Arabidopsis thaliana: one gene and its partner. The protein of the gene in region 2 interacts with the protein of the main gene of each other region in a pairwise test. Each region holds a gene or a part of one and is shown on either strand. Other genes may lie near its edges.

Evidence for each region. Proteins that work in one complex are often made in the same cells at the same time.
Region 1: the proteins of AT1G54840 (region 2) and ROS4 interact in a two-hybrid assay, tested with the Arabidopsis thaliana proteins (3 studies listed by BioGRID, with this or other methods).

Annotation. Positions count from the first base shown.
Region 1 is NC_003074.8:5,039,372-5,047,427, reverse strand, and holds ROS4 (Acyl-CoA N-acyltransferase with RING/FYVE/PHD-type zinc finger protein), read left to right. Parts: upstream 1-1,902; 5' UTR 1,903-2,099; coding exon of another isoform or gene 2,100-2,318; intron 2,319-2,405; exon of another isoform or gene 2,406-2,475; intron 2,476-2,553; 5' UTR 2,554-2,616; coding exon 2,617-4,884; intron 4,885-5,110; coding exon 5,111-5,228; intron 5,229-5,545; coding exon 5,546-5,628; intron 5,629-5,812; coding exon 5,813-6,054; intron 6,055-6,177; coding exon 6,178-6,264; coding exon of another isoform or gene 6,265-6,274; exon of another isoform or gene 6,275-6,458; coding exon 6,459-6,558; intron 6,559-6,761; coding exon 6,762-6,963; coding exon of another isoform or gene 6,964-7,010; exon of another isoform or gene 7,011-7,027; coding exon 7,028-7,497; 3' UTR 7,498-7,616; downstream 7,617-8,056. Other genes in the region: AT3G14981 (uncharacterized protein), read right to left, coding at 2,100-2,318; AT3G14970 (RING/U-box superfamily protein), read left to right, coding at 7,695-8,056. UniProt on the Arabidopsis thaliana protein: Histone H3 acetyltransferase that binds methylated DNA at chromatin sites lacking histone H3K4 di- or trimethylation and catalyzes H3K18 and H3K23 acetylation. Prevents the transcriptional silencing of transgenes and of some endogenous genes.
Region 2 is NC_003070.9:20,451,994-20,455,956, forward strand, and holds AT1G54840 (HSP20-like chaperones superfamily protein), read right to left. Parts: upstream 2,274-3,963; 5' UTR 2,198-2,273; intron 1,943-2,197; 5' UTR 1,940-1,942; coding exon 1,144-1,939; intron 1,062-1,143; coding exon 808-1,061; 3' UTR 600-807; downstream 1-599. Other genes in the region: NF-YC3 (nuclear factor Y, subunit C3), read left to right, coding at 1-332; AT1G54850 (HSP20-like chaperones superfamily protein), read left to right, coding at 2,447-2,451, 3,121-3,488, 3,754-3,963. UniProt on the Arabidopsis thaliana protein: Prevents DNA hypermethylation and transcriptional silencing of transgenes and of some endogenous genes. May act as a molecular chaperone of IDM1, regulating its H3K18 acetylation activity.

The DNA of each region.
Region 1 (8,056 bases), on a different chromosome or scaffold from region 2:
TGGGGTTAAAATAGTAGGAAAGACTCAGTGACGAAGCCATTTACGACTTTCCTTTTTATCACTTTAACCAAAAGAAGATAGACGTGTGCGATGACGTAAGCATAAAGAAAAAGAAACTCGACGATACGTGTCGAACATTCATTGGTGGAACGTGGCGAAAGCTTCTTTTGAGTCTTTCCACGTCATTGTATTGGATAAAATCAGAAAAAGCCACTTTGGTTTCGGTAAACTAAGACGGCGTGAAGTTGGCGAGAAAAAAGTATTACAACAACGACATCACGTCCTGGTTCTTAATTTTGTGGAAGCACGTGTTGTCGTTTTTGATACATGTACTTTGTAGTAGAGTAAACCGGACGAACTTCTGAAGAGATGTTTTGTTAATTTTGTAGCGTTCCAATAATTTATGGGCTTTATATGGGAGTGTTAACCGGTCGAAAAAGTACTCCTACCCTTTCAAATAGCTATTAACGCGAAATTTGAAACTACTAGTTAAACTTAACCAAATATGATCCCATAAATATGATATATATACACGGTAAACTAATTAAGAGACTGTTCAGATGGTTTTTGGATGAATCGGTGTATTCAAATTAACACAAACACACACATTTTTCAAAATGGACAGCCTGAAATCATGATTTTTGTTATGATCTCTAATTTCTAACCCAACATGCAACAAACAATAAATGATCAATACCCATTATCCGGTCCAAAGTGTTTTTAACAAACTTAACGTTTTAGATATAATCCAAGGATGTGTGTCAAAATTCACTTATATTGTAATAGACGAAATTAAACTAGATTAAATCACATGTTTGTGTGTTTTAACCATGTTTGATGGCTTCGTTGGGTCCAACATATTCCATTCACAATTAGGATGAAGAAGAATGTCTCAATACAGAAAGCCAAATATAAAGCAAAACACGTGGCTCATGCATTAGCTTCGCAAGCGAGCCGAATTATTTGTTATTGACTTATGTGGATCAAAATTAGCAAATGAGGTCTACCATCTACCCTTTTAAAAAAGAATCGTTTCTTTTTAACCATAGTTAAACCTTAAAAATGAAAAAAGTATCTAGAATTGATCCCCTCTAAATATTTTTTTTTTTAAAAACAAATACTTTCACATAACACAGTCGTTTTCATCGTACTGGTACATGTACTTTTTGGAATTTTCATATATCAAAATCGAATAAGAAGAAACAAAGATTCAGAGCCGTATTCCTATATATAGTTAATACAAAACATGCAATAACTAATCTGTTCACACAACAAAATAGGTTAAAATACGACTTATGTCCATCATCGCATGCACCTATTTGATAGTACAGTATTTGTTATCGTTAAGACACGTAAAGATTCCCCGCGCAAATTACAAAGCATCCAATCCACTTAACAGATATTGATTATACATATTAAGACAAAACCTGTTACAATCGGTGATGACTGAATTTTAAAGGACAAAAACATAAGCTGAAATGATTTAAAACGACAACAGAAGAACAGTTAGAAACCTGGCAATTAAATATGCTAACCTTTTTTTTCATTTTAGTTTGTCTGTTATTTTTGTCAGAACAGTTTTTGTCTGTGGCGAATTTAGTAAAAAAAAACTTTGTCAAGAACTTAAAACCATAGTCATTAATATTGGCTTATAGTGATACGATCGTCATTAACAGGATTAAGAATTTGATAACAGAAGAAAAAAACGACGAATATTTGGGTTTTAATTTGTGTAATTAAACGAATTTAAGTACTCCATATACTATAACTGCTGGTCCGTTGTTATCAGAGAGGAGACAGAATCTTAAGGTGAAAAATGAAGAATGACTTTTTCAGTATAACGAAGGAAAAATAAAATAAAAACACGAAGATGCCTTTTTGGTGACAGCACACAATTTATAGAAAAGAAAAAAAGAAAAAAAACGAGAAGAGAAAGAAATAGCCAATAATAAGTATACACACACTGTGCACAACAAAGTGATAGAGGCAGATTCAGAGAGGTGAAAAAAAGTTCGTCAGAATTTATCTATCTGATGAATTTTGGTTGAGAGATTTAACACCGAATCAGAGGTGGGTTTCTTCCACAATTATAGAAAAAGCTAAAAAGATAGACAAATTGTTGTTCTTTCTGTGTGTGAGATAGAGATCAAGGAGAGAGAGTGTGTGAGTGCAGAGAACGTGAAATGGAATGAAAATGCGTTTCCCACTTGCGGTTGGAGAGGATAAGGGCGACGAAATGAGTCTATTTCAGTGAGAAGAAGCCATTTCTCCGATTTCACAGCTCTGATTTCATTCTGCATGCTGGTAATGTCCTGCATTTCCCAATTTTTGAGCTTTCTTTTTGGATGTAATTAGTCATTATAACATCTCAATTTCATGAAATCTGGTCTATCGTTTTGCTCTAGGCTTCAAAGTTTTGGCCTTTCTAGAAGGATCTCTGATTTTATCTTGTTTTGAATCCGCTTCCGCTTATGGGTATGTGTTTTGGATTAGGATGTCGAGTTCCAAACTTTTGGGTTCTGTGAGTTTATTCATTACTTTATATAATTGCAGGTATCTATCTACAACCTTCCTTTTAAGTTAAGGTGAAGTGGAATATGCAGTTAGTTTGTGGAGATGCTTCCCGGAGCTGAGATTGAGATGTTAGGAGGTGACTGCTTTGAAGGGTCATATGAGGATCATCAGATATTCAGAGAAGTTTTCTTTGGAAGTGATCCTGGAAATACTACTAAAAGATGTCTCGTTACTGGAGCCATTAACTTCGAATGTGATTCCAGTAAGAATGTCAATTCCTCTCTGAGTTCCAACTCTGTGGTAACTAGTGGATATGCATGTCCACAAGGTTTTGAGGCATCTGCTTCAAGAGATGGTTCAGATTTTAACACTAAAGCTAAGAGAGTGAAGCTTTCAGGTAATAAGCATTTGGATGCAAGGGACGAAAAGGGATCTGCTTTGCATGGTTTTCCAACTTCGGACATAGCTAGAGAGACGATACCTCTCCATTTAGTTGAATCATCTAACAAGGGTGTTTCAACTAGCTCATATTTGTTGAAGCACAGCATAGTAAAGGGAAGAGAAGTTTATCTGGGTGGCATTGTGTCTGGAAAGTGTAAGTCACTAAACTTGGACAAATGCGATGGAAAGGAATTTAAAGCTATTGCCTCTCCTGTTTCTCAGGAGAGCTTCGCAACCAGAATGATCTCTGTAGGTGCTTCTACGCCGCATAGTGAGAAGGCTTGCTTCCCGCTACAGTTGAACAACGGATCTAAAGTATCTCCTAATGAGTTAATTATGTCTAAAACCTGCCTAAAGATTGATCCTAAAGAGGACCCCCGTCCTCTTCTCTACAAGTATGTCTGTAAGGTTCTAACTGCTGCCAGATGGAAAATTGAGAAGCGCGAAAGATCAGCAGGTAGGAAACATGTAGACACATTTTACATATCGCCAGAGGGACGGAAATTTCGTGAATTTGGGTCAGCTTGGAAAGCATTGGGTGGGATCCTATTAGCTGATCGTAAGTTAATGGATACTGGTACTAAGAAATGGACTGGTATTAATGACTTCTGGTCCGATCTCTCTCTTACACTGTTGGACATCGAGGAGAACATGAAAAATTTAAATCTTGCTAACACACGGGCACTTTGGTGGAGTGCCTTAGAGCCTTTTGTGGTTGTTGTCTTCATTTCTAAGCAAGTTGGTTCTTTAAGAAAAGGAAATAAAGTTGAAGTTGCAAGGAATTCAAATCCAGACAAGTTGAAGAAAGAAGATACAATTTGTTTGAACCTGATTTCAGGCTGTCCTGAAAGTGTGCTGACAGTATCTGAAGGCAGTCATCTTGTTCATGACGTGGATGCTAACCAAGAGATACATTCAGATCTTGAGGTGCAAACTAAAATTTCCTCTCAAAAAGTTTCTTCAAGACTAGAGAGGCAGAGCATAATTGGTAAGGAAATCTCTGGGACTCATGAGCAGGAGGCTAGCAAGGGCATTGTAGCTTCAAAATTGATAGCAGAAGACATGCATGAAAGTGTTATGAGAAAGAACTTACACAGAAGATCAAAGAAAATATCCGATATCAAACCAGCTTCCTTGGACCAACATGATTCACTAGATTCTAATTCTCTCAATAGCTTTGAATTCCAGGATAAAGAGATGGGCAACATTCACCTCGTCTCAAAGGGAAGTCGGGATGAAAGGTTGAGGAATGAGAAGATGAATAATTCATGTTGCAATTCAAAGAAAGGAAGAAAGAAAGCTAGGAAGCACTATACTCAAGATGATGACCTTATGGGGTCGACAATAACCAGAAACAAAGGTAAGTTCAGCAGATCAAGCCAGAAAAAGAAAACACAGAAGCCAAAGGCTAGAACAAAGAAAAGAAACAATAGGGGAGGGTGCAGGTTGCTTCCCCGAAGCTCAAGCAATGTGGAAAATCATTTTTTTCAAGGAAATTGGTCTATTTTGGGTCCTAGAACTGTCTTATCATGGTTGATAGCTACCAAAGTAATTTCTAGAGACGAAGTAATCCAGTTACGAGATCCAGATGATGATACTGTGGTAAAAACAGGCCTGGTAACTAAAGATGGAGTGGTTTGTACATGTTGCAACAAGACTGTGTCACTTTCTGAATTCAAGAACCATGCTGGATTTAACCAGAACTGTCCATGTCTGAATCTTTTCATGGGGTCAGGAAAGCCTTTCGCTTCATGTCAGCTGGAAGCTTGGTCTGCTGAGTATAAGGCGCGAAGAAATGGATGGAGATTAGAGAAAGCCTCTGATGATGATCCAAATGATGATTCTTGTGGAGTTTGTGGTGATGGGGGTGAGCTGATCTGCTGTGATAATTGTCCATCTACCTTCCATCAGGCGTGCTTATCAATGCAGGTATTGTCTGACTCATTCCAGGGTATATTTACATTTTAACTATTATTTATCCCGGTAATTAACTCTTTGCAAAACATACACATGGGTGAAACTTCTTGGCTGATTCTGTGATTCTTACTAATTCAACTCTAGTAACTTACACGGCATTAGTATAACTAGGATATTTTACCTTAAATTGGTACCCTCTAAAGAGAGTTGCTGTATTGCTTTTGCTTTTTCTACCCAGGTGCTCCCTGAAGGAAGTTGGTATTGCTCGAGCTGCACATGTTGGATATGCAGCGAGTTGGTTAGTGATAATGCTGAACGCTCTCAGGACTTTAAATGTTCCCAGTGTGCGCATAAATGTAATCATCTTACAGCTCGCAATCTCTTAGAAACTATGATTTATTTCTTTATCACATGAAAGGAAACCCCTGATTTGAATTCTCTTCTATCATGTCTCACTGAGATTTTATCACGATTGATGTCACTGTTCATCAGTAACAGTTGTAGATGGTGGTTTTCTGCCAGGCTCAGCACTTCTCCAATTTTCTTTCTTTAGTAATTGACACTTTGTAAAACTCACTTTTGGAGTTATGCCTCTCGCGACAGTTGGATCCCACATTAGTTATTTTGGTATGAAATCCACTTTGGCTGATGATTGTTACCTTTATGTTATCAGATCATGGAACATGTTTGCAAGGGATAAGTAAACGCAGAAAGCTTTTTCCAGAGACCTACTTTTGTGGTAAAAATTGCGAGAAGGTATTAATCATACCTAGTCACTGTGACTTAAACAACTAATGGGTAGTTTTTAAATTTACATTGAGAATAATAGTATATTTTTCGCTGCTCTTGGGCTCTTTGACATATAAACAAAGAAGATGTTAGCATGTTACAGCTGCTTCACAACTTTCAAGGTTCTCATTAAGTAGCTCGTGTAATGCAGGTGTACAATGGTCTTAGTTCTCGTGTTGGGATCATTAACCCTAATGCTGATGGTCTGTCTTGGTCAATTCTTAAATGTTTTCAAGAAGATGGAATGGTTCATTCTGCCCGAAGGTTGGCGCTGAAGGCTGAATGCAACTCGAAATTAGCTGTTGCCCTATCAATTATGGAGGAAAGCTTTCTGTCTATGGTAGATCCAAGAACTGGTATTGACATGATACCTCATGTGCTATACAACTGGGGGTAACGTCCTTTTGTCATTAGCTTGCACACTTAGATTTCTGTTTGTTACTTCTGTACCTTCAGTTCTGCTCTTCATTTTCATCGCTTTGTCTTACCTTTTTTGAATCTTTGTTGCACTTAAAGGTCAACATTTGCTCGGTTAGACTTTGATGGGTTTTACACAGTGGTTGTGGAAAAGGATGATGTGATGATCTCAGTAGCATCTATCAGGTTAGTATGAAGAAACTCGAATTCATGCTGAAAAAACAGTAATCTCATGGCTATCAAAGTGTTTGGTATGTCTTCTAGAACCTCCAGGCAATGAAACAAAATTTGACACTATCACCAAATGGATGCTTAGAACTATTCTTTCACTTCCATCCACTGGAACGAGTTACATATAAACCCCATTTTACTATATCCAGGGTGCACGGAGTAACTATTGCAGAGATGCCTCTTGTAGCTACGTGCAGCAAATATCGCCGACAGGGCATGTGTAGAATCCTCGTGGCTGCCATTGAAGAGGTACGATATTTAGAATGTAACCATGTGGTTGTTCTTGAAGCTACATCCACATTAATAATGTCTAAACTTAGTACAATGATAGACATACAGCACCGCTCATATGCTGACCTTGATAATCCCTTAGCTCATATGATCTCTCTTCCAGTCTTGTCTTGATCCCTGGGCTATCAATAGATAAAACTATTCATTGGTTTTGGCTGCAGATGCTTATGTCTCTCAAAGTGGAGAAGCTTGTGGTAGCTGCATTGCCGAGTTTAGTGGAAACTTGGACTGAAGGTTTTGGCTTCAAACCCATGGATGATGAAGAGCGTGATGCTCTCAAAAGAATAAACTTGATGGTATTCCCTGGGACAACTCTGCTCAAGAAAACACTATACGAGAGCACAAAACCCAGCACTATGAAAGGTAAAGCCAACTCCTCTCTCCCTCTCTCTCGAACGAACTTCATTTGATTTTTGCTCCTGTACAGGTGTATGTCTTTCTAAAGAACGCAATAACCCATCAAACAAAGAAGCAGATCTAGAGCCAGGTCTAGACAAAGCCGGGTCTCCCATGAGTACCCAAGTTGAGAGCTGTGATCAGATGGTTCCAGCAGGTTCAGATGATGAGCCATCCCCAGGCTTCCCCGTACCACTCGGAGCCGATCAAACAGAACCAACTTCAGAAACAGAGAACCCAAGCCGAGACAGCAATGCCAATGATAGGCCAAATAAAACAACAGTAGTCTCTATAGGAGAAGAAGAAGAAGAAGAATGTTTGCAGAAAGATGTATCAAAGTTATCAGAAGAAGGAAAAGAAACGACAAGGGCTTCTTCTTCCTCTGCAGCTTTAGAAGAAGTTAGTGGTCTAGGACTAGGAGTAGTAAATAATGTTAGCGATGAGATGTTGCTTTGTGTTGATGAACAGCTTGACTCTGATAGCTCTCAGGATTCGGAATAATATTATTAGACTAAAAAACTATGATCGTTTCTTTCTCTATATCCTCTCGTCACTTTTTTTTTTTTGAAAGAAAACCCTACTAAGATAAGGAAACCGCATAAAAGAGGATTCTATATTTTCATTTTCATTTTCAAGTCTTATCAAGCCTCAAAACCCTAAATACCAAATATCAAAACGCCCATTTTTCCGAACAAATCATGGTTTTTGATGCTGTCAATCCAGACCCCGACAGCTTCGTTTACTATTATCCGATCTATAACGATGAAGGCGATTTTGGCAGAACCCAAAACTTGATGTTCAAGTTTCATTTATGTTACAATCTTGCCCCTGAAGTAAATTCAGATGGAGAAGATGAAAATCCTCTCGATCTTGAAACTCTACTCGTTGATCGAACTCACGAGTTTGATAAAGGATTGCTTTTCAGTGGAGATAGGGAGCAAATACAAGTCATTGTCTGTCACATTCTTGATTTGATTAAAGCCCCTCGTTATATTGATGTTGTTACAGAACTCATTGATGCGATCCTTGATTTAAAGAAGTGTGATAAGATCTCTAACGT
Region 2 (3,963 bases):
TTACGTTAAGGTCTTGGAACCATACTGAGGAGAACAAGAGAAGGACGTTGCAGAAGAATGATATCGCGGCTGCGGTGACTAGAACTGATATTTTTGATTTTCTTGTGGATATTGTTCCTCGGGAGGATCTTCGTGATGAAGTCTTGGGTGGTGTTGGTGCTGAAGCTGCTACAGCTGCGGGTTATCCGTATGGATACTTGCCTCCTGGAACAGCTCCAATTGGGAACCCGGGAATGGTTATGGGTAACCCGGGCGCGTATCCGCCGAACCCGTATATGGGTCAGCCAATGTGGCAACAACCAGGACCTGAGCAGCAGGATCCTGACAATTAGCTTGGCCTAATAAACTGTGAGTTCTTGGTTTAGATTTGTGCTTTATCGTTACATGGACACAAAACTTGATTTGATTGTTCTTGTTTGTTTTCCGCAGAGCCGTCTAATTCGAAGCTCTCCCCGGTGGATCTACTCAAGAAGAAGAATGTTAATAGAAAACTATTGCGACATAAAAAGTTTGGTGTAGTAGAATAATTTCTGTTTTATGATCCATGGATTTATCTATTGTTATTCAGTTTGGTTTATCTTGTCATCAAACTGTTTTCGGTCAATGTAACAAATTCATAAACTGAGAATTGAACTTACAAAAGGCTAGATTACTACTTATAAAGTTCAAAGCTACAGTGATATTGTAAACTAACCAGTCCTTACACATAGTTTTCAAAATGGCTTAGCTCGAGTTTAAATAGTCCGTACTTATCCCTACCCATAACCAAAACCAAAAACCGACGCTTCCTATATCACTACCAAACGTTTACACAGTTTGTTTCTGCAAGTTTTTCATTACGACTCCTTCAAGAATTCCATCTGTTCCAAAGTTGCCAGAAAACTCGTGTGGATGGACAGGACCGGGGAGGCGGAACGAGACAGAAAAGTTACCGGGAGGGCAGAGACTCCGCGTTTGCATTTCAAACACATGAGAATACCGTTTAACTCGCTTCCCGCCTGTTGTAGTGACTCCTCTAACTAGTACCTTCCCATTGTCTTCTACTTCACAGCTAAAATATCCTGCAATATCTCACACTCATCAAATCAAGAAACTGGTTTAGTGGGATGAGAGATCTTCTAGATAAAGCAAAAAGTAACTCACTTTCATCTCTTTTCACACCAGGAAGCGATACACGGAAGAGATAAGCGTCATCACATTCACCAATGTCCATCAGTCCCACCATTAGTCCACCATGAGCTTCAGATTTCACCTCAGGTTTTGCAGCAACATCACTTTCTTCACCGCTAGTGCAAGTACCCGCATTATCCTCTTTCACAGGTTCCACGCTCTCATCAATCTCAACCTTAACCTCATTAGCTGCAACAACGCCGTTACTTTTAGTTACATCAACACTAAGGCTCAAAGCAAAGCTATCCAATCCCGTAAGCCGCTTAAACCGCGCAACACATTCTTCTCTCATACAAGAAGTATCTGGATCATTAATGAACACAATGCTCCGGATAAACTTAAACTTATGCCTAACATGGGTTTCAGGGTGCAATTTTCGCGGAAAAAGATCCACGAAAAGAGGGTAATCCCTGTTCGAATCATTGCGTTTCGCATTGAAATATTCACGTAACTTTTTCGGCTTCATGACTAGAGACGGATCAACATTTCTAATAATGTGATAATACACACGTTCTAGCTCAGCTCTCTTCATAAGTGAGCCACTTAACTCATCTACCACAACATTCTTCAACGCTTGAATCTGAAAAGCTGATTGCTTTGGACGATGATGTTGTTTTCTTAAATCTGGTCCAAAGTAAGTTCCTATGATGAAATGTAAGAGAAACAACTTGTCTTCTTCAATATCCAATGAAATTAACACACTTTCTTCTTGTTCTTGAGAGTTTTCAGCTACTAAAGGAGACACGATCTCAGGCATTGTATCACTCATATCCTAAACACACAACACAACATCAAAAGTTTGATTCTTTATGAGTGTTTATACAAAAAGATTGAAACTTTAATAGAAAATTTGAAAAATACTGGACATGCAATAAGAAATTATAACCAAATTGGATAAAAATTGGACACATTTCGTATCAAAATGGGTGGGAAAAAACGAAACTTTTTAAGGAGATTTAAGAAATTGAAGCAAATAGAAACATAATTTGTTGATAAATAAACGAAATTGAGATAAAATGTTACTAACCAGGAGTGTAAATTTAGGGTTGCTGCTTAGTGAATTTCGTTGTCTCTCATCAGAGAAACAGAAAGCGACTTGGGAAAAAAACTCAAGACATGGCAAGAAGAGGGTAAAAATGGTATTCTTTCGGCACTGATTTGTCCACGTGGCGATTATACCAAATGTACATCTTAAAGAAAATTAAGAGAAAAAAAAAAAAAAATCAACAAAGCTTCTCGGAGATTTTTGCCGGCGACTTCTGAAACATCGTCTCCGATGAGGTAAAGTAACTAATTTTTCTCAAAAATTCGTCAGTTTTGTTTCTACTCTTGCTCTTATATAACCCAAGTTTGTGTATTTTCGTTTGATTCTGTGAAAGATTTAATTTTTCTTTATGGGTTTTGTACATTTTCACTGATTGAAATTAGGTTACTTTTGGCTAAAAGTCTGAAACTTTGATGAAATACTTGTGTGCCAAACTTATTTTCAGGTTTAAAACTTAAACTTATGTCTAAGATAGTATAATATTCATTACTTGGCTAAACCCTTGCTTACAAAATTGGGTCAGACTCATGTGTGTATCTAACATTGTTGTGTAAGACCTTTTCGATAACATAAAAGAGGACAAATGATGAATGTTGCCTCTTCGTTTGTCTAATTTGTGGTCATGAAAGTATAAGAAGTTTCCGTTTGTATGAATATTCGTAAGCATTAATAGTGGTTATACATCACAAGACTTAGCTTGCTTATTGGATCTTAACCAATATAGTTCAATCTCTTGCTCTCTTACTGATTCTAGAATCTAGCTACCTCTATAGCCTTATAATGTTTCAAAGATTAAGCCTTTTTAGTCCGCTGCTGTTTTAAAGAATCGTTGTAGTTTCGTGAGTGATTCTGTTATATAGCGAATCTGAGTCAAGTGTATGATAAAAGGAATTGTTGTGCTTCAGGTCTTCAAGTGGTCTAAATGGGATGAGGGAAAACAACAGTTTTCCGGATAACACAAGGAACCCACAAATTCTTGAAGTGACTCCATTGAACAGTATGCCTTACATTGGTCCAGTAACTCATGCATCCATGTCGAGTAACAGGATGAATGATAGTGTAGAGAAAGTAGGAGGGCCTGCGATGATATTTCTGCCTTCTGACTCAAGTTCAGAGTTTTCTAACCTTATCAGTCAAACGAAAACCGGAGTTGCTCTCACGGGAAGTGCTGCAATGGGGAAGATTGGACTAACGATTGGGTTGGTTGATATTGCTGAATCCGAAGACTCATATTACTTTCGTGTTGCATTGCCTGGTGTTTCAAGGGATGAGAGTAAGTCTTACCACCTTTCCATATCTTTGTGAAGTTTCCAAATGACATGCCAAATTATCATTTCTAAAGCTAGTTAAAGATATTTGTTCATTCAGAGCAAATATTATTTGCACATAGATTTGAGAAGTTTCAGCCTTGTGTTATAAGTGTGTTTACTCAATTATTTCCTTGCACACGGTTTATAAGCGTGTTTATGAGGTGCTTTGAGCTTTGTTTCGTGTGCTTTTACTTGTCTTCTGCTGAATCTGACTTGTTAAATATGCAGAGGAATTCAGCTGCGAAATAGAACCAGACGGTAAGATTATGATAAAGGGAGCAACAACGACGGGGGAGCAGACAGTTTGCAAACACAATCAGATCTTCAAAATGCTAACACAGAACTTATGCCCACCAGGCCACTTCACCATCAACTTTCAGCTTCCTGGTCCTGTGAGCAATGAAGAATTTAACGGTAATTTTGGGTCAGATGGTGTAC